Arabidopsis thaliana: one gene and its partners. The protein of the gene in region 2 interacts with the protein of the main gene of each other region in a pairwise test. Each region holds a gene or a part of one and is shown on either strand. Other genes may lie near its edges.

Region 1 (4,951 bases), on a different chromosome or scaffold from region 2:
CTGATGATCTTTGAGCCATTGGGTGGGAAAATCAGCAAGATTTCAGAAACAGAATCTCCATATCCACACAGAAGAGGTAATCTGTATAATATACAGTACATGGTGAAATGGAAAGTGAATGAAGTCGAGGAGATGAACAAACATGTCAGGTGGATGAGATCGTTACACGATTACATGACTCCGTATGTTTCTAAATCGCCGAGAGGAGCTTATTTGAATTACAGAGATCTTGATTTGGGCTCGACCAAAGGGATTAACACGAGTTTCGAAGATGCAAGGAAATGGGGTGAGACTTATTTCAAAGGTAATTTCAAGAGATTAGGTTTGGTTAAAGGGAAGATTGATCCAACAAATTTCTTCAGGAACGAACAGAGTATTCCTCCTCTGTTTTGAGTCCTCAATACAAAACCAGATATAAAAGATGTCATTTCATTTTTTCAATTATAATAGATAATGTAACTTTCTGCTACAATTGTAAAAGTGAGATGTACCCAATACGGTTTAAGCGGACCGAGAATAGTCAATTCAAAGACCAAATTCTGAATGATATTAAACCACTAAAAATATGTTCAAATATGGTGAATAGATCGTATACAGAAGTAGTTAAACAGTCATTGAATCACCTGATGAATTTAGAATACACAATATCAGTGAGTTTTTCGACACTCTGAAAAATGGCAAACAGAAATCCGATTTAGCTCTTCTTCGCAGCGGCTTTAATACCGGGAAGTGTTCCAAAGACTTTGTCCCATAGAGAGGAAGTGATTCCATATCCTTTGTCCTGAATCCTAAAGTGATGATTCAGGTGGTATTTCTGTAAAATGTATATATCAAACCTCATCAGAAATGCAGAGGAATAAGTTTGAACGCGAAAAAAGAGGAGATGTCTAGAGATGGTTTTCCTTACCTTAAGATGTTTAAAGGTTGGTTCTTTAGGTTGACCATGGTGTAGATAGTAATGGGTAATATCATACATCACATAGCCAAACAATATGCCTCCAAGAATAGCAGGTGCTGTAGCAGGAGTAGCTAGGAGATGGAGAAGCTTCCATAGCTAACAACGGAAAAAGAAGAGCATCAATAAAAGTTTTCGTATTGAAGTAAAGAATGAATGAAAGAGATTCCATATCTGGATCAAGCATGGATACTTACTGGAACCAAGAGAATAGCTGTTGCTGTAGGAGGGAAAACAAGACGAAGGCCGTCTTGTGGGTGCTTGTGATGGCATCCATGAAGAAGATAGTGTGCAGTGTTTGCCCTGAAGAAAAAAGGGTTTGAAATGAAACAGATAAGCTTCGTGATGAAATCGGGTGTTTCTATGTTGCATAATCACAAATACAGAACTAACCAGTAACTCTTGGTTTGGATGTGGAAAAGGAAGCGATGAAGCGTGTACTCGAGCAGTGTCCACGTGAGTACACCAAAAGCAACTATTAAACCGATCTGGGGAAACGTAAGTCCCTTACTCGCCGATATTGAAAGAACGTAGCAAACAACTGGAAGCCAGATTGTTGGGATTGCCCACCAAACCGTGCGAGTCAAAAACTGCTCAAATTTCCCAAAAAAAGGTTTAAGCCAAACATAGAGGCTTACATATATGAAGATAAATCTTAAAAAGGCAGAGTTGTTATGTTACCTCCCAAAAATCACTTTCGAAAAAACGAGGACCCTCAACGCATACAATAGGTTGATGAATCCATTCCTGATATTCTTCGCCAAGATGACCAACCTGACAAGGATATAAGTTTCTTTGTATTAGTAATTTGTTATGCATTGTATATATCAAAGAATCTACGAAACAGCTTTAAAGATTGACAGAGAATTCTCCATTTGATACTTTGTCTTGTCGATCTAATTTGTTAAAAAAAGGCTATGCGGAAAAGACGTGACTGAGCGCATCACCTGAAACACAAGTGGCTTATTCAAATCGACTGTGTATCGTTCTGCAACCATCTTTGCCACTTTATGAGACTGATTGTTTCTGCAAGTAAATCCAAAACCAAAAATCTTAAATGCAGTACTGTTGAGAAACAAACATTGAGAATGAACAATATATCATTAAAGGTGAAACAAAATTCACGATAGTGTTAGAAGATTTAAGTTCTAGCTAGCTCATAAAAGAAATTCCAACCAAATTGATCCCAAAACAATAAAAAGATAATCCTACTGTGCTGCAAAATTCTGCTCATATGAAACAGTACTCATTCAAATACAAATATCAATAGAAAAAAAATGACAACATCTTCATCTGACAAGAACATAAATCTGTTGATCATCCAAACTGAAAAATTCAATGTCAATTACTAGGAAATCTATTGCTTTAAAGGCAATCTAAAACTAAAAGACTGCATTTGGCATCTGAGGATTTGGTAAAGCTCGATTTGCAAAAGAGAACACATCCAAAGAAGAAATCTAATCAAGGGTCAATGATCCAACATAAGGGAGACATTATAAGATTATAACATTCTCAGCATTACCTAAAGACAGAGCCAATCAACGAAGAGAACCTTGACAATGTATTAAAGAACAAAACTTTCAGCTATGAATCAAATTAAAACATCAAATCATCAAATCCCACGAGAGAAAAAGAAACTTAGACGAAGAAAAAAGCCAACATTCTTCGAAATTCACGAAAAAAAATCCCGAACTTTTTGCAGAAAAGATCTATAAATCGGGGAAGAGATAATGAGAAAAACATAGAATCTGAGAGAAGAAATCGGAAGAATTTGAAGAGAATGAGACTCAGAGATCTGAGGATTATTTTACCTTAGAGGAGAGAAAACAAACAAGCCTCTCTCTCTCTCTCTCTCTGGGCGTAAGAGACTCGCTTACTCTCTCCAATTGAAGGGAAACAACAAATACAGACACTCTGTCACAGAAGAAAGGGTGGGATTTTGCTTCGCTTGAATCCTTCTGATAATGTTCGGCCCACGTTTCCTACCTTTTTTTTTTTGTTCTGTTTTAGCCATTAAAATATTATTTGTATAAGGTCATATCTTTTATTTTGTATAAACAATATTTTATTTGCTATTTTTGCAAAACTAAAAATAGTTTTTGTAGAGAAATAAAAATCTCATATCTTTTTCTGAATTAAAATAATATTTTATTTACTATTTCTAAAAAGTTGCAAAATTAAAATAGTTTTTTCTAAATGAGAATAAAAAAAATAGTATTTTCTAAATTTGTGTTGTTTCTAGAGTAACACGCCATGTATATGTAGACAAATATAAATTGTTTTGCTATTAAAAGATGTTTAAATTTTGGAAAACAAAAATTACATTTTTTTTCTAATTTTCTAAAAGCCTCTTCAGCATAAATCACAGACACAGATCCGCTTTTTGATTTGGAAATGGAAAATAAAAACAAGAATGTATGGCTAGCCAACATTGATCAGATGGTTGGTCGGTCCATTGATAATATGAAGTTATCTCTTGTCACTTTCAGAGAATGGTTTTTCTCTTCTCTAGGGAGTATGGGTCTAATATGACTACTACTATGCGTCTATGCGCCTATGACTATGAGTCTATGAGTAAGGGACTTTTGCTTAAGTATCACCAACCAAAGACTAGATGAATAAATTCTGCAGATAATTCTTATTACTCATCTCTCTAGCTGCTATAAGTGAGATCTATACTAAAATTGTATATCTACATATTTGATCTTATAAATAAATAAGAATCTAACATTCTTTTTCGGAGTAGAGTAATGTTAGAATGTTGGGCTGGTGTTAAAATCTTAGAAAAGAGAGATAGAAATACCTAAGGTGAAGATGTAAATGTAATGGGGAGCTAAAAGGAAGTGAAGAACCTTAGCTTAACCAAGGACAAAGTAAATATCAATTTCGACGTGTTTGTTGTGGTAATACCGTAATACTAATCCGGATAGATAGATACACAAATGATAAAGTTATGCATAAGTTTTAAATCAATAATAAAACTAACAAAAATAGAATTGTAGATTTACAAAATGGTATAATATGAGAAATTTACTAATGAAATTATTGTTTGTTGAAAAAAAAAATTAATAACAAAATTATTGTTTGTAACATTTCTCATTGTTCATAAAGAAAATAATCAAACATCCATTATAGATAATTAGATTCTGATATCTTAAATTAAAATTGAAGATTTTAATATTTTTCTGAACACATAAAAGGAAAGGGAGATATATATATTTTATTTAGCTAACAATGAAGTCATAAATAAAAATTCAATAGTACCTTCTTACAATAAAAATGCTTAATACATATGAATGATGTAGATATGGATGTGATGTGTTGTTTTATTACTTTATATCAACAAATTAATACATATATGGACACGCATCTAGAATAGATATTAGCCCCTTTACATCTGTTGGGAACTATTCATATAAAAGTAATTAGACATGGCCAAAAACCTTAATGATAGCCATGATATAGCAATGAGGCTTTCCACTATATAAATAATAGTTTTCATTATGCACTTTGAGAGTTTCAAAATTTCAATTAGGTTGAAATATTAATCATTCTTTCATATACAACATTACTTATTTCAAACACTTTAACAACAAAAAGACTTTGTTTTTGTCTTCTAAATAGTCCACAACTAAGATACTTGTCTTAGATTCGATTCCCCATGGAATATGTAGTCTTCTTAACATAAGCTCCAAATTTGTTGTTTAATTTTGTTACATGCAATCTTTTTAGAATAGTCATGCACTCATGCTAATGCAACTTTGACATAAACGTTTTGTTTTTTTCTTCTAATTAAGATGAACTTGAATATTGAAAAATGTGATGCATCATTTGCAAACCACCTACAAATGAATACCAATGTTTCTACATCCTCTTTTTAAAAGTTTCTTCAATCGGAATTGGATCCAATTTCGAAAGTTGATTTAGAATTGTCAAAAAGAAATGCTAAAAGCCGCACGATGACAAATCCGAGACATACGCCATAACAAAACACCA
Region 2 (4,957 bases):
TCTTCAGGTACAACTTTGATCCTGTGAACGAACAACCACTACCAGGACGGTTTGAATGGACGAAGGTAGATGATTAGAAACAACAAAAAAATGGGGGGTTAATAGTTAATACAGAATATATTAACATTTTCCTGCTAATTATCGGTTTGATCTTATTACCATCATCCGTTTTCTTAACTTTTTCAACATGTAAAGAGCTTAGGAGAAAAAACCCATGTAGTGTTTTTAAATTGGTGTCTGTAACATAAGTGGCTGAAAAGGGTTTGTGTAACAGAACTTGATACCAATCCTTTTTAAGCCTATACAGATCACCTTAGTAGTAGTACTAAAGCCATAAGAGAAGGTTTTTAGAAGTAACCCAAAGTCTGTTTAGGGTTTAGCGTTTAGGGTTTAGAGTTCTTTCGGTTTAAGGGTCAGTGTTTTCTTTTATGAATTCCGGTACAGGGGGACTCTGCATTCTCTTAAAACTCTTTGTCCTGTAACCATTTTAAAAAATCTATCCTTTTATGTGTATACATGTACTGATCTCAAACTCTTTTCAATAAAGACTTATCCTTCTCTTTTTTGTTCTCTTCATCTTAAGTTCTTGTTCTTATCATCATCATCATTATGGTCCATGTGTTGTGTTCTTCAGACATATAACATCACAATGACAGGTAGGTAATACATGTCTATATATACACAATTGTATACTGATAATAGAGAGACAGAGAAGCTGTTCGTTATGGATATGGATAGTGTCTCATAGTGGTCTTTGTTTTGTCTCTGTCTTCTCACTAAAATCAAAAGTGTTAGAAAAAGATTCTCTTTCTCTTTCTCTTGCTCTTGTGTGAGTCCATTGTACTTTCCACTCTGTGAGATTTGTGCCCACTATATTATCTTAAATATGTAATTCGTACCCACTCACTACATATCATCATCATCATCATCATTATGGTGATCGTCTTTTGATCAATCATCGAAACTTCGTCGCGTCTTTGCTTGTCATAAGATTCGTTTTCTGATTGTATTGATTTGAGTCTACACACGACAACGTTTTGAATGAAACAGTCCATAGTTGTCAACTTGCCACAGAATCCATTCCAATCTTTACTTAAATGAAATTTATTGCTCTCGAAGTTACAAGTATCGAACTTTGTGTCTGCGGTTGCGACTTCTTGCGGCCAAAGCGGTAAAGAGGTACAAAAAGAGGGTCCTACAGTTGCAGAAGAGTTTTTGGATTCTTCGTGTGGATATGTTTTTGTGAGCTCAAGTCACTAACTGCCACACACTCTATCAAGTAACTGCCAAAACAAACGTCTCTTTCTCTTTGGAATTCGTAATCTGTTGTTTTTGTTTCTCCTTTTCTCAAAGTTAATTAAGTGTTCTCTTAAGCATTCAATTAGTAAGATCATGGCCTTGTTTTGATAGTTCCTTGGTTACTTTTCTTCTACAGATCTCAAACAATACTAAACCAGACTTTCAAAACAGATCACTTATTAGTCATAACTTCGGTTTCAGAATCTGAAATATAGATGAGATGTTCATTAGTTGCATAAGGCAAAAACACCAACAAGACTGTTGTTTATATGCAGTTACACCACAATAGATAAGAAATTATCCAAAATACATTCAAACAGCAAAATATGGGAAGAGACAATAACAAAGGGAGAGACTTTCAGATTTGTCTTTTCAAAAGACTTGAATCTTTCTCTCTATATATAAGATATAAGGAAGTAATGCTCAGAAAAAAAAGAAGCCTACCCTGATTTGGTGTAGATACGGATTCCGACTGCTAAACCAAGAATGGCAAGGGGTACGAGGAACTGGAGGAGCTTGATTATGAATTCAGAGGTCTTGTCTTGATTGTAGTGAGGCTGTTTAGGAGGTGTGTATTTGACTTTCTTTGGTATTGTTGTTGGATCAATCTCTCCTACGTAGTACTGCTCCATCATTTCTCTTGCACTCTCGCTGTGACCCACGTCCTCAAAATCATCCGTTGCATCCTTACCTGAAAAGAGAATAAGAATCAAAAACCGATGGATTGATCTCCACTAAGCCGGGAGCATGGTGATAGTTGTGTTTATACAGACCTGTTGAAGACAAGAGAACATCGTCCCCACCTGGATGGTCTTCAAGAAACTTGGTCACATTGTACACCTGCATTTTTTTGCAAATGTGTGAAGTTAGGAGAGGCAAATGAAACCCAATTACAGAACTTCTGAACTTTGAAGATTTCTTGTCAAATCAAGAAGTTTAAAACATGGGAAGATCCACTTCTGAGGCTTATGATTAAAATGTAAGAAACAATGGAGCAACAAAAAGAAAAGTTCTTAGGTTATCGCTTTCTTTGGACTAAACAAGATATGGTGCATATAACTCTAAAAATCAAACAATAGGAATAGAAAGATGAATACTTGAAACAAATTACTGTACCAACAACCAAGTCCAGAGATACATTTGGGATCTTCTGAACTTGATAAAAAGGATTGTTCTGTGTACATAGCAAACTTGTTGCACAGAGGTAAACTCCCAAAAAAAATGAACTTAAGTGACAATATTAATAAGAAACATAAACTACTGATGGAACAACAGACCAAAACATTTAATGTTTCCTACTTTCTTGTGATAATCTACTGATTTCACAAACCAATCAATGAAGAAAACAAAAATCAAGTTCACTATGAAGGGAGGCTCAAGGATGTATCTACAGATTCCTTCACAAGTTAATAATCACAATACAAAAACGATCGATCTTCAGGGCAAACAACTAATCGACAAGTGTCAGTAGTCCATCCCAAGAAAGGTTGATGTCGATCAAACAAACTCTAAAGACAATAAGAACTATTTCTACATTTCTCCATCTTCAATCAAAATTAGAAAATTTTCAGCTGATAAATAGATCAAAAGAGCTAAATCTTCAGCATAAGCTTAATAACTACACCATTTTCTACTCTCTCTACCCATCTAAAGATTTGATCTGATAATTTTAGACTTAGAAATCTGAGACTTCAAAAGCTTAATCTCATGCAAACACCAAAAGGGGAAACTTTGAAGCACGAGATCTCTAATTTCAGAGGTGAGAATAAGGAGAAAGAAGAATGAAACCTTTCCATTGATGACAATCCAACAGTCATGAGCTTGATTATGCTCTGAAACTTCTGAAAGAGTGAAGATCTTTGCTTCGTCTCCCATTGTTTGTTTGATTCTTGTCTACCAGAATTAACCCACCAAAACCTGACTCTGAGACTTAAAGCTCAAAACTTTATACAAGAGTGTGAGAGAGAGTTGTTGAGTTAAAGACCATTTGACGAATCAGTTAAATTCCGGTTTAATTTGGTTCGTTCTCAAAGTAATCGGTTGGTGAGTTTTGGAAGCTTTGAAAACCGGTTTAATGAAAATTGATTTTGAGTTTGTTCTCACATAGTCTGTACCTAATTGCTGCTCTACTGTTTTGGCCTTATGGTATTCATCTGTACGATTTTGAAAACATATGTGCCAATGTTGAACCGATGGGTTAAGTGGTTTGGTAGTAGTTGTTATTTCCGGTTGAGTGGATGGGGTAGGTAGGTAGGCAGTGCAAATGTTGCGGTTGTGCGCTCTAATTCTGCCTTTTTCATTCAAGATCGGTAGGTGAATGATGTGCAATAAATTTTATTATGGTACATATGAATTCTTTTCTCATAAGTAATATTTATGTAGTTTTATATTAGTAGATACAACTACATAAGAAAAATAAATTGCCGCTGCTTCATACCAACTGACCTTATTTATTAGGGACACAAATCTTTTTCTTTCTAAAGCTTATATAAAATGTACATATTATTCAAAATCAATAGATTGACCGGTGAATTTCTGACCTTGTAAACGAAAAGAGGTCTGAGAAGTTTCAAATTTGAACCATCGACAATGAAAAAAATACATTAGCCATGTTCTCTAGAGAAAAACAAGCAGGTTAACCAAAAGATTAGAACCATCATTTTCTTTATGTTTTTTAGTACCAAATAATGTTATTAAAAGAAAAAGTTATACTTTTAGGACCACCAAATCTTTTTCAATACTAAAAATTGTTGCTTTGAAAATATTAAATACAATTTACACATTAAAAAAAACTAATATATATATAATTTTAAAATGAACAATAAATATAAATAACTAAAATCGTGTTTGTTTGTTCATACACTATTTTCATTGAACTTCTGATACGATAAACAGATAACTAAAAAAAAAATTGAATGCATATGTTTTTGAATTACATCTTGAAATGATTTATAAGCTAAATAACTAGATGACTTTGTTACATAATCGAGCTAATGGTCGACCACACCATCATCATAGTTTACGCTTACCATTTCGTGTAATGAGCTGAATCGATTTATGATAATTTTGTTTATAAAATTTGATTAACCGACTGTAAGTTTATTAATTTCTCTATGATGCCTTGCATATCTCTATAAAGCTTTGTATTATGTTCTGAATTGCAACACATTTTATTGATATGATATGATGATAATTTAGCAATTAGGGTATCCTAAAAGCTCCTAAAACTTAAAATTGTATGACCAACCAATTTTGTAAAAGCAATAAGGAGTTTTTGTAAATCTTCAAAATATATTGGATCCATAACTCAATAACACAAAACTTGAGACTAAAATCATAATAAAGCTATACATTCGGGGCAGTTTTTAATATCCTGACTTGTTGGGTAAGTCTCTAAATATTCGTAGTTTGCATCCAAGTCCCTGACTTACTATCTTCTCCCAAATCTCCTTTTATTTTTACTTTCGTCCTATAAACTAAAATAAATAAGGAAAACACTCTTCTTCAAATCCAGTAGAGAGATTCAAGACGAGTCTCATCGAAAGTTCGAATCTTTCGTCATCTGATTAGCTTTCTCTTAGGGTTTATTTCGATTTCGATTTAGTGTTCTCCATCAATGGCGACACCCATGGTTAGTTCCGCTGGAGGATTACTAGCA
Region 3 (5,505 bases), on a different chromosome or scaffold from region 2:
CGCGAGCCATCTTTTCTTCTTTACTAAGAAAATTTCTACATTATTTTAAGATTTTTCTTTTCCATGTAGTTGTCTCATACTTCCTTCGAAAAGATCTTTCTCTAACTTCAACCTTGGGGATCGAGCAACCATATTTCAATCAACAGATTCTTTCATCACTCTAATAACGGACAAAAAAAGAAAAGATGTCAAAAAAAAAAAAATTGGAATATGCACGTTGATACTATAAGTTCATTTAAATCAGTCGTTAGAGTAAACCTTATTGAGAGTTCAAATTCATTTAAAAACCTGATGAGATAATTATATAATTTCTTATAAGATTTTTTTTTCTTGTAAGAATTTAACGAATAGAATTTTTCTCTCTATTACTTAAAATTCCTCCTCGTCAAAAATTGCAAATGCTTGGCAGTTTTACCATTTTCTCAGAACTACCGTATGAGAAATAAAGTACGTATTAAAAAACAATACAAGCTTTAAAGATAAAAGAGGCAACAAATTTTTTTGACAAAAAAATTAGATGAAAAGAAGTGACGACAAATAACTGAGAAAACACGTTTTGCAAAACTAAAAAAAAAAAAAAAAAGAGAGAGTTGGAAAATGTTTGGAGCTGGTGGGCATTAGTTGGCTATGCAACGCACGGACGCGGATACTTTTCAACTCGTTGCTTACGCGGCCACGTTTTCGTCACAAACCGTGTTTCTTTTGCGGCCTTTTAAGTTTTAATCAAACATTTTTGTTTTCATTTGAATCTTTTTTTTAAGGCGGTTATACGAATAAAATCATTAAAAGGAGAAACGGGCCTTCATGTTTAGGTTTTTGTTCTTCCTCATTTGGGTTATTTAGCTTATTGGTTCAGCCCACAAGAGTTTCCTTCAATGGATAGGGCCTTCAGTTGCATGCCATCATCCTTTCTTGTTTCTCTATAAGCCATTTTTGCAATGAGAATTTCTCAATTTCTTATTTTTGCAATAAAATCATTTTGCCTTAGATGATGGTGGAATCATCCGTTTTTCTTTATTTTGACCCGGTGAGTAATTGAACGCAAAAAATAGTCCAATTATTCAAAACCTTACAATTTCATATCGCCATAATAAACCTAAACATGATTCGAGTGAGCAACTACATAAAAAGGGGAACGAAATGTTGGTACAAAACTGAATTCCAACCCAATCAAGTGCATACTAAACTATTGAGCAAAAACAAAGATAAAAATCAGTTCACCTACCCTAATTAAAACATGATTAGGCCTAAAAGACTATAAGTAAAGATAAAAAAGATGCCATTTTAGAGTACGTTTTGGTAAATTGGCGCCATCGTGTTATACGTTTAAACCGTATAACCTGAATCATGCAGCACGTGTACGGCTCACATTGGCCCAAGCTTGATTAACAAACAATAACGTCATTTTCGTATTTCAACAATTTTGATCGCTCAATCCTTTCGACCTAATTTCCATATTAAGTAATTTATTAGTTAAAACAACGGACTCAACCAAATTACATATTAAGAGAATATTTGAAAATTGTCTATGTAGATGAACATGTATTTGAAAATTGCGTAAGCACACTCTTTCTCTCTCTCTTTTTTTTTTTTTTTTTTCCCCCTCTTCTTTCTTTGAATAAAGATGACATTTTTTTCTGTTCCAAACACAAAACTGCATATTGATAGTGTTATTGAATACTCAACGTCTCTTCTTCCAGCTTACGTAAGTGGAACTTACTTTTTGCCCCGTGATCCAACAGAAAATGACGAATGCTCCCTCAAAATCATTTCGTTTCAACAAAAATATGTATTTTATCCATAGAGAAACAACAAACCTTACACTATATACCCTCTTTTAACGTGCCCACTTTTCATTATTTACACAATTTCCCCAACAAATTTAAAACAATTTACAAAAAGCACTCAACTTTCCTAAAGTAGATTCCTTTAGTCCAATGGAATTCTTACAACATCTTCTTCTTCGCCACCTTTTTCTCTCCACTTTAAGCTTTTTCACTCTCTCTACGCCACGACGACTGTGAAGCGAGAAATGGCTACTTCCGATCAAGATCGCCGTCACAGAGTCACTCGCAACCGTCCACCAATAGCTCGACCCTCTACTTCTTCATCTCGTCCCGTTGTATCTCCTCCTAGATCAAAAGTTTCGAAGCGTGTGCTTCTCCGTGTAGCTTCCGTCGCATGCGGGATTCAATTCGGATGGGCTCTTCAGCTTTCTCTCCTCACACCTTACGTTCAAGAGCTGGGGATCCCACACGCTTGGGCTAGTGTGATTTGGCTTTGCGGTCCTCTCTCTGGTTTGTTCGTGCAACCGCTCGTTGGGCATAGTAGCGATAGGTGTACTAGTAAGTACGGTCGTCGGAGACCGTTTATTGTCGCCGGAGCTGTGGCGATTTCTATCTCTGTTATGGTTATTGGTCATGCGGCGGATATTGGATGGGCATTTGGGGATAGAGAAGGGAAGATTAAGCCGAGGGCGATTGTTGCTTTTGTTTTAGGGTTTTGGATTCTTGATGTTGCTAATAATATGACTCAAGGTCCTTGTAGAGCTCTCCTTGCTGATCTTACTGGTAAAGTTCCTGACTTTAGTGTTGATTGGGTCTTCAATTTGAAATCATTCAAATGTAGTAAATTTGGGATTCTCGTGATTATACACTCACATGCAAAACATGAAAATGCATAAATTTGTGATTTTGGATACAATTTGGGGTTATATAATTACCTAATTGGTTCCTAACAATCAAAAGGTCCCTTCTTTGTTTCTGGTCGGTGGCTTATCGTTGAGTCACAGAGACTTTGTTTTTTCTCTTTCCCTTGAATCAAATTGTGGATTTTGGTGAAGTTAATCGTAGCCTACGATTGTGTGATAACCTCATGGAGTGAAAACAAAGATATGTTGTGTTTTAATTCTTGTCCTATTGCTTTATTTTCAGAGAATGATAATCGCAGAACCCGAGTTGCAAATGGCTACTTCTCTCTCTTTATGGCTGTTGGCAATGTTCTTGGCTATGCTACTGGATCATACAATGGTTGGTACAAGATCTTCACTTTTACGAAGACAGTTGCATGTAATGTGGAATGTGCCAATCTCAAGTCTGCCTTCTACATAGATGTTGTCTTTATTGCAATAACTACGATCCTAAGCGTCTCAGCGGCTCATGAGGTGCCACTTGCTTCATTGGCTTCTGAAGCACATGGGCAAACCAGTGGAACAGACGAAGCTTTTCTTTCTGAGATATTTGGAACTTTCAGATATTTTCCAGGAAATGTTTGGATAATCTTGCTTGTTACAGCATTGACATGGATTGGTTGGTTTCCATTTATTCTGTTTGATACTGATTGGATGGGTCGAGAGATCTATGGCGGTGAACCGAACATAGGGACTTCATATAGTGCTGGGGTCAGTATGGGTGCACTTGGTTTGATGTTGAATTCTGTTTTTCTTGGAATCACTTCTGTGCTCATGGAGAAACTTTGCAGAAAGTGGGGGGCTGGTTTTGTTTGGGGAATATCAAATATCTTAATGGCTATTTGCTTTCTTGGAATGATAATCACCTCATTTGTTGCGTCTCACCTTGGCTACATTGGCCATGAACAACCTCCTGCCAGCATCGTGTTTGCTGCTGTGTTAATCTTTACAATTCTGGGCATTCCATTGGCGGTAAGTTTACTCCTGTAATTCTGCTGTCATGTTACTTACACTATTACTTATGATATTTTGCCTGCTCATCTGTAACAACATGATGAAATTTATTTACGCTTTCGCTGTAACTAATGCTATTGCTACTCTTCTGCAGATAACTTACAGCGTCCCATATGCGTTGATTTCCATACGTATTGAATCCCTGGGCTTAGGTCAAGGTGTGCAGGCTTATCTTTGGGTGTTGTTTCTTATAAAAGTTCTGTTGTGTTGTTTCTTAGAAAAGTTCTGCTCAATGATTTTACTCTACATATGAGTGTTGTTTCTTATAAAAGTTCTGTTGTGGCAGGCTTATCTTTGGGTGTGCTAAATTTGGCGATAGTCATCCCACAGGTACACTTCTTTCAACCATCCTTTTAGCATTATATTTGCCGCAACTCAAAATCATATTCTTCTTTGAATGTTTCTGCCTGTAAAAGGAAGTCTATAAGCATAACATGCAGCAGAGTTACTGCATTATTTGTCAATTGTCATTAATAAACGATTCGTTTTTTTAGTTATGGTCATTGGCCAGTGATGAAAGTACACTTTTTATTTCTCTATATTAGTTGATTGATGAATTTCTTCCCTATGTTGGTTATGGTTTTTGGCATCAAACTCAAATTCTGTTGTTCAATCATTTATGTGTTTGCAGGTAATTGTGTCTGTTGGCAGTGGCCCATGGGATCAACTGTTTGGAGGTGGGAATTCACCGGCACTTGCAGTAGGAGCAGCTACAGGCTTCATTGGCGGAATTGTAGCTATCTTGGCTCTTCCACGGACAAGGATTCAGAAGCCCATCCCTCTCCCATGAGATTCTCTCTTTTGTTATATAAGGTAATAATGTCACAATTCTTTCACAAAAAGTACATAGTAAGCACTTAAGTTGTCACTGATTATTAAAAGCGGCTAATGCGAAATAGATGAGTGTCAAGCGAGGAACGCATAAGGGGAGTGCTTGGAAATGGCAAGGAGATGGAACACTTAATGTGATCCTTGTCGAAAATTCGTGCAATGGCTTCTCGTGTGACTAACTTATTTGCAGCTACTAGGACTTAATCCCCTCTACTTTGGGGACTATGATCCTTGTATACACGAGGCACCATAGAACCAATGAAAATAATACATCATTCAGTTTGTGAGGTATATGCATCTCTCCTTTATTGGAAGTTCCAGTTCGGGATCTTCTCTGTTTTTTTTGTTGTTGTTGTAAATTAATGTAAAAACCTGTGTACAACAGAGTGTTTGTAAGGGCCCCTGAGTTCTGTAACTGTTTATAAAGTTCATTTTCTTTAGAATTAGTTTGATAAAGAAAACCTGAGATCCAAAAAATTTACATGATCTGTGTAGCAAAAGTAGAAAGGAACCATTACGAGTACTAGTAGTCTCTATAGTAGCAGTAACCACCAATAGTCAGCAATAGATTAGGATGACTCTTGGGAATATTAAGACCATCTCCAATGGTTAAGAAGTAATTGGTTCTTAACCAAACATCTTAACAATTATTTATACTAAAATTTTGAAACATGACATGTAACTGTTTTTTTCACTCATGAAAACTTCTTAGCTAAGAAGCAAATCTTAGTTTTTAATTTATTTTGATTTAATTTTCAAAGTTTAATTCTAAAATATTATTCTAAGATACACCTAAGATAAACCATTGGAAGTGCTCTAAGCCTAGTAGGAAGGAATAGTAGCAAATCCCAGTTTTCTTCTTGAGTGAGATGTTTGAGATTGAAATTACTGTAATGCTATTGAGATTCTGTAGGCAGCGTATCAATAATTGAGAGAAATAAGTAGATGCTAATACAGCTTGAGCAATACTT
Region 4 (4,161 bases), on a different chromosome or scaffold from region 2:
AAATTTCCCATTTGATCAACAAGTCCTACTCCGGTAAGACTATCAACAAAGTAAGCCATGAAGAACCCTATCATCGCAGCACGACCTACACCACCAAGACAACAACTTAGATGCACAAAATGTTAAGTGTACTATATCTAAGTGTTAGATCATAAGTGTTTTGAAAATCACCATTGAGAAGTTCAGCTTCAGGTAGATGGTATCTCTTCATCCATGCCCACCATGGAATAATCGAAGTATCGAAGACAACAAGCTCGTCGTTACTCGTTGTTTCCGGGTTATCTTCAAGCCATTTTCTCCTCTTTGCCTCTATAAAAATACATAATCAACACATTTACACAACAAACACTCCTCTTCTTACACACCACTATAAGAAACCAAAGCAGAATCTTCCTAATAACAAAGCATAGACATATATCAAGTATTCAAAGAATCTGTACTGAACTGAAGTTTTAAAAGGATCTAACCAGAAACGATAACAGAATCCCAATCAGTTTTGCCATCTTTCTCGAACTGTTTCAGATCCCAAGTTCCATTAACCCACTTCGCATTCTGATATTTGATTACCGTCTCAGTACTCGAATCAGTCGCTTCACCTCCAACGGCGCCGTTTTCAGAAGCGGAGGAGCTTTCGGCTGGAGATTTAACTGGAACTTCCTCTACAGCCACAGAAGCAGGCTTCGGAATCTCCACGACGGGGGAAGTCGTACCATTGTCGGAGGAAGCTCTAGGGACGGAGATTAGAGAGAAACGCTTGGTGGAGAGAAGAGAGGTTGAGATCTTGGGGATGAGATTAGGGTTCTGAAGTGAGGAAGAGATCGGCGGAGAGAATAACGCCATGGATATAGACATTTTTTTGTTAAGATCTCTCTCTCTCTCTCTCTCTCTCTTTGTCTCTCTCGATCTCCTCTGCTCTGAGTTTTTTTTTTTTTTGCAGAGTTAGTTTGAATGTGTGGTTTGAAATGAGCTATGAAGGAAGTGAAAGAGATGTTGTTATCGTTAGAAACTTGGATTGTATGTCGTTTTCCTTTTTTAATTCAGTTTAAGGAAGAAACTACGTGATGTTTTCTGTAAGCAAAAATAGAAAGATAAACGAGACTGTTAATGGGCTTTGCGATCAGCCCATATAGAACTAGAATTCAAAACCTGACATTTAACCATACTCTCGACCCATGATTTACGAATTGACTAGACGATATGAAAATGTCCTTGGTCTTTTCTTTATTAGTTTGTTAAACTTTTGATGCAACTGAAAATAATAGAGAAAGATTATAGAAAAGTCTTTGTAAATTAATAAATACTGTTATCCAAAATACTTTATCACAAAACTAAAACAAATTTATTCCTAAGCTTAAACAATAATATGTAAACTAAGTGAAAAATCCACGTGGATGATTCTTATTGGTTAGATGACGATTTAGATATTTCATTTGCTTCGCGGCAAAGTTTCAACTCATTACGACGACGACGATCTCAACGTTCAAGAAGTTTCCAGAACTACCCTTCTCCGTGTTTAATGCCCCTACACGTGTAGCGAATGCGTAATAACTACACATAAGCAGTAAGGGTATTATTGTCAATTTAGTCCCCAATCATAAGGCCCATTATAAATAACGAAAGTCTTTATTTTCTAACTAATATTTTCATTAATCGATTCTCAAAGTCAAGCAAAAAAAACGAAACAATGGATGCGTTCTCTTCCTTCTTCGATTCTCAACCTGGTAGCAGAAGCTGGAGCTATGATTCTCTTAAAAACTTCCGTCAGATTTCTCCAGCCGTTCAGAATCATCTTAAACGGGTAAGTTTCTTCGCCGCCGATGTCTATTCATATCACACACCAAACCGCGATGTCTAGATTAGAGTCGATAGATTGAGATTCGTTTCGTTTTCGTGCTATTGATCGCTCTATGTTTCTATATTTCATCTAATTTCTATGATTTGGTTTCCGTTGAACGAATCGTTGCGATCGTACTTTATCTAGGGTTTCTAATTGGGTCTTTCCATGATTTAGTTTGTTGATACTTACTTGATTATGATTCTGTGGAGATCTTTCGTTATACTTTACTCTGCTTATTATTGTTAAGATCCTCTTGTTCATTTGTCATGTTCCATTTGCAGAAGGGAATGTGATTTGTATACTCACTCATGTTACAAATGCTCATTGGTTCTTATTATTTGTGGTGGAATCTTTGTAGGTTTATTTGACCTTATGTTGTGCTCTTGTGGCGTCTGCCTTTGGAGCTTACCTCCATGTGCTCTGGAATATCGGCGGTATTCTTACAACGATTGGATGTATTGGAACTATGATTTGGCTCCTTTCATGTCCTCCTTATGAACACGTACGTGGGCTCGATTTACCCAACCCAATAGTGAATTGGCTGCTTTCTTATTGTACTAAAGTTTCGTTTTCCTGACATTGTTGTTTGTTTTGATGCAGCAAAAAAGGCTTTCTCTTCTGTTTGTGTCTGCTGTTCTTGAAGGTGCTTCTGTTGGCCCCTTGATCAAAGTGGCAATTGATGTTGACCCAAGGTGTGTTATGGTTATGCAATTTGATTCTTGTTGTTCAATGTTAATTTTCTGTTAGACTATTCTAGGAGCTGACCTTTATATCTTTCTTTTGGTTCTCCAGCATCCTTATCACTGCATTTGTTGGAACTGCGATAGCGTTTGTCTGTTTCTCAGCAGCAGCAATGTTAGCAAGACGCAGGGAGTATCTCTACCTTGGAGGACTGCTTTCATCTGGCTTGTCTATGCTAATGTGGCTCCAGTTTGCCTCTTCAATCTTTGGTGGCTCTGCATCTATCTTTAAGTTTGAGGTAAACCGAATGCCTCTGTTTTAGAATGATCTGTTCTTTGTCTTACTTTCTCAGACATCTCACCATTGTTATGAATACGTCTCTGGTTGCAGTTGTACTTTGGACTTTTGATCTTTGTGGGATACATGGTGGTGGACACACAAGAGATTATAGAAAAGGCACACCTCGGTGACATGGACTATGTAAAACATTCGTTGACCCTTTTCACTGACTTTGTAGCTGTGTTTGTTCGGATTCTCATCATAATGGTAAGTTCATTTGTCGCTGGTATAAGAAAATGGTACACTTTATTTGTTAGTAAACCGTCATTGACGGACTCTTTTGTTATGCAGTTGAAGAACTCAGCAGATAAAGAAGAGAAGAAGAAGAAAAGGAGAAACTGAGGGGATGTAAAGTAAATTTAACTTTATGGTTGTTATCGTGTGTGGCCACTTTGAAGATATTACTTGTTAGCACTCTCTATTGGTGACCAGACATGTTTCCACTAAAAAGGATCTGCTTGTTTCACTTCTGCACAAGTACCATCTTCAGATTGTAAATGACTCGAGTGTTGTTCTTCTTTTCATAAACTTTTGTTCTTTAAGAGTTTGGTTCTACTGATTGCATCTTACCAAGCTAAGAATAATGTAGGAAAATGATAATCCTGTTTAAATTTTCTAAAATGTGTGCATTTCAGATTCTCACAGTTGCAACATTTGCTATTGCTTGGAAGTTGTAATCGAAAAATAACTTGCAATTTCCATGATAAGTGTGTAAAAACCTGCATTCTCGTGAAACGTGGATTTGAAAATTGCAAATAAATGGCGTTTAGCCTTTTGTCAAACGTCTGGTTGGAGCTTTTTGTCAAAATTTGTTCCCAATAGAATGTTGTGGTACGGCAAATGGCAAGGAATATACATCAGATTTTCCTTCTCACTTTAAAAACGACGTTATGTTTTGCATAGAGTCTAGACCTCGGAGCTCATGACCCGATCTTAAGTTTGAATCCATCCGACAAACCGACGATGGAGACAATACTAGTTATATACTTGCATATGTTCTGACTTCTGGTCCAAGGCAATCTAGGATTAGCACATTAACGTGTGTAGCATTTTCAATTGGGTTTTTGATACACTCCTTTTGCAATCCATGATAACATGATTGCAACTTGCAAAAGGATCTAAAAGAAAAGAAAATTAAAAATCACTGGCCAGAAATGCAAAACATGAACCAACCCCTAGAAGTTCTGTTAATACTTAATAGATGTAACAGAAGGAAATGAAGCCAAAAACGAGAACAAAATATTTGAATAAAACAATTACATCTCTGTTTTTTCTTTGTTTGATTTTTTAAAAGAACTAGGGAA

Evidence for each region.
Region 1: the proteins of CB5-B (region 2) and FAH2 interact in a protein complementation assay, tested with the Arabidopsis thaliana proteins (one study listed by BioGRID).
Region 3: the proteins of CB5-B (region 2) and SUT4 interact in a two-hybrid assay, tested with the Arabidopsis thaliana proteins (one study listed by BioGRID).
Region 4: the proteins of CB5-B (region 2) and BI1 interact in binary tests that used the Arabidopsis thaliana proteins (3 or more experiments, as listed by UniProt).

What each region holds. Positions count from the first base shown.
Region 1 is NC_003075.7:11,173,926-11,178,876, forward strand, and holds FAH2 (fatty acid hydroxylase 2), read right to left. Parts: upstream 2,957-4,951; 5' UTR 2,767-2,956; exon of another isoform or gene 2,478-2,766; intron 1,982-2,477; 5' UTR 1,954-1,981; coding exon 1,903-1,953; intron 1,730-1,902; coding exon 1,637-1,729; intron 1,546-1,636; coding exon 1,349-1,545; intron 1,259-1,348; coding exon 1,153-1,258; intron 1,055-1,152; coding exon 908-1,054; intron 815-907; coding exon 695-814; 3' UTR 525-694; downstream 1-524. Other genes in the region: AT4G20860 (FAD-binding Berberine family protein), read left to right, coding at 1-393. UniProt on the Arabidopsis thaliana protein: Fatty acid 2-hydroxylase involved in the alpha-hydroxylation of the long-chain fatty acid (LCFA) palmitic acid. Probably involved in the resistance response to oxidative stress.
Region 2 is NC_003071.7:13,875,274-13,880,230, forward strand, and holds CB5-B (cytochrome B5), read right to left. Parts: upstream 3,438-4,957; 5' UTR 3,175-3,437; coding exon 3,088-3,174; intron 3,086-3,087; exon of another isoform or gene 2,484-3,085; coding exon of another isoform or gene 2,397-2,483; intron 2,140-2,396; coding exon 2,073-2,139; intron 1,991-2,072; coding exon 1,740-1,990; 3' UTR 539-1,739; downstream 1-538. Other genes in the region: AT2G32710 (Cyclin-dependent kinase inhibitor family protein), read left to right, coding at 8-77; AT2G32730 (26S proteasome regulatory complex, non-ATPase subcomplex, Rpn2/Psmd1 subunit), read left to right, coding at 4,916-4,957. UniProt on the Arabidopsis thaliana protein: Membrane bound hemoprotein which function as an electron carrier for several membrane bound oxygenases, including fatty acid desaturases.
Region 3 is NC_003070.9:3,242,226-3,247,730, forward strand, and holds SUT4 (sucrose transporter 4), read left to right. Parts: upstream 1-1,760; 5' UTR 1,761-2,032; coding exon 2,033-2,570; intron 2,571-2,933; coding exon 2,934-3,661; intron 3,662-3,797; coding exon 3,798-3,861; intron 3,862-3,989; coding exon 3,990-4,033; intron 4,034-4,334; coding exon 4,335-4,493; 3' UTR 4,494-4,516; intron 4,517-4,602; 3' UTR 4,603-4,991; downstream 4,992-5,505. UniProt on the Arabidopsis thaliana protein: Responsible for the transport of sucrose into the cell, with the concomitant uptake of protons (symport system). Can also transport maltose at a lesser rate. May also transport biotin.
Region 4 is NC_003076.8:19,134,387-19,138,547, forward strand, and holds BI1 (BAX inhibitor 1), read left to right. Parts: upstream 1-1,565; 5' UTR 1,566-1,684; coding exon 1,685-1,798; intron 1,799-2,195; coding exon 2,196-2,339; intron 2,340-2,437; coding exon 2,438-2,529; intron 2,530-2,629; coding exon 2,630-2,816; intron 2,817-2,908; coding exon 2,909-3,064; intron 3,065-3,148; coding exon 3,149-3,199; 3' UTR 3,200-3,639; downstream 3,640-4,161. Other genes in the region: LIL3:2 (Chlorophyll A-B binding family protein), read right to left, coding at 1-85, 172-309, 468-852. UniProt on the Arabidopsis thaliana protein: Suppressor of apoptosis. Modulator of endoplasmic reticulum stress-mediated programmed cell death. Involved in methyl jasmonate-induced leaf senescence through regulating cytoplasmic calcium level.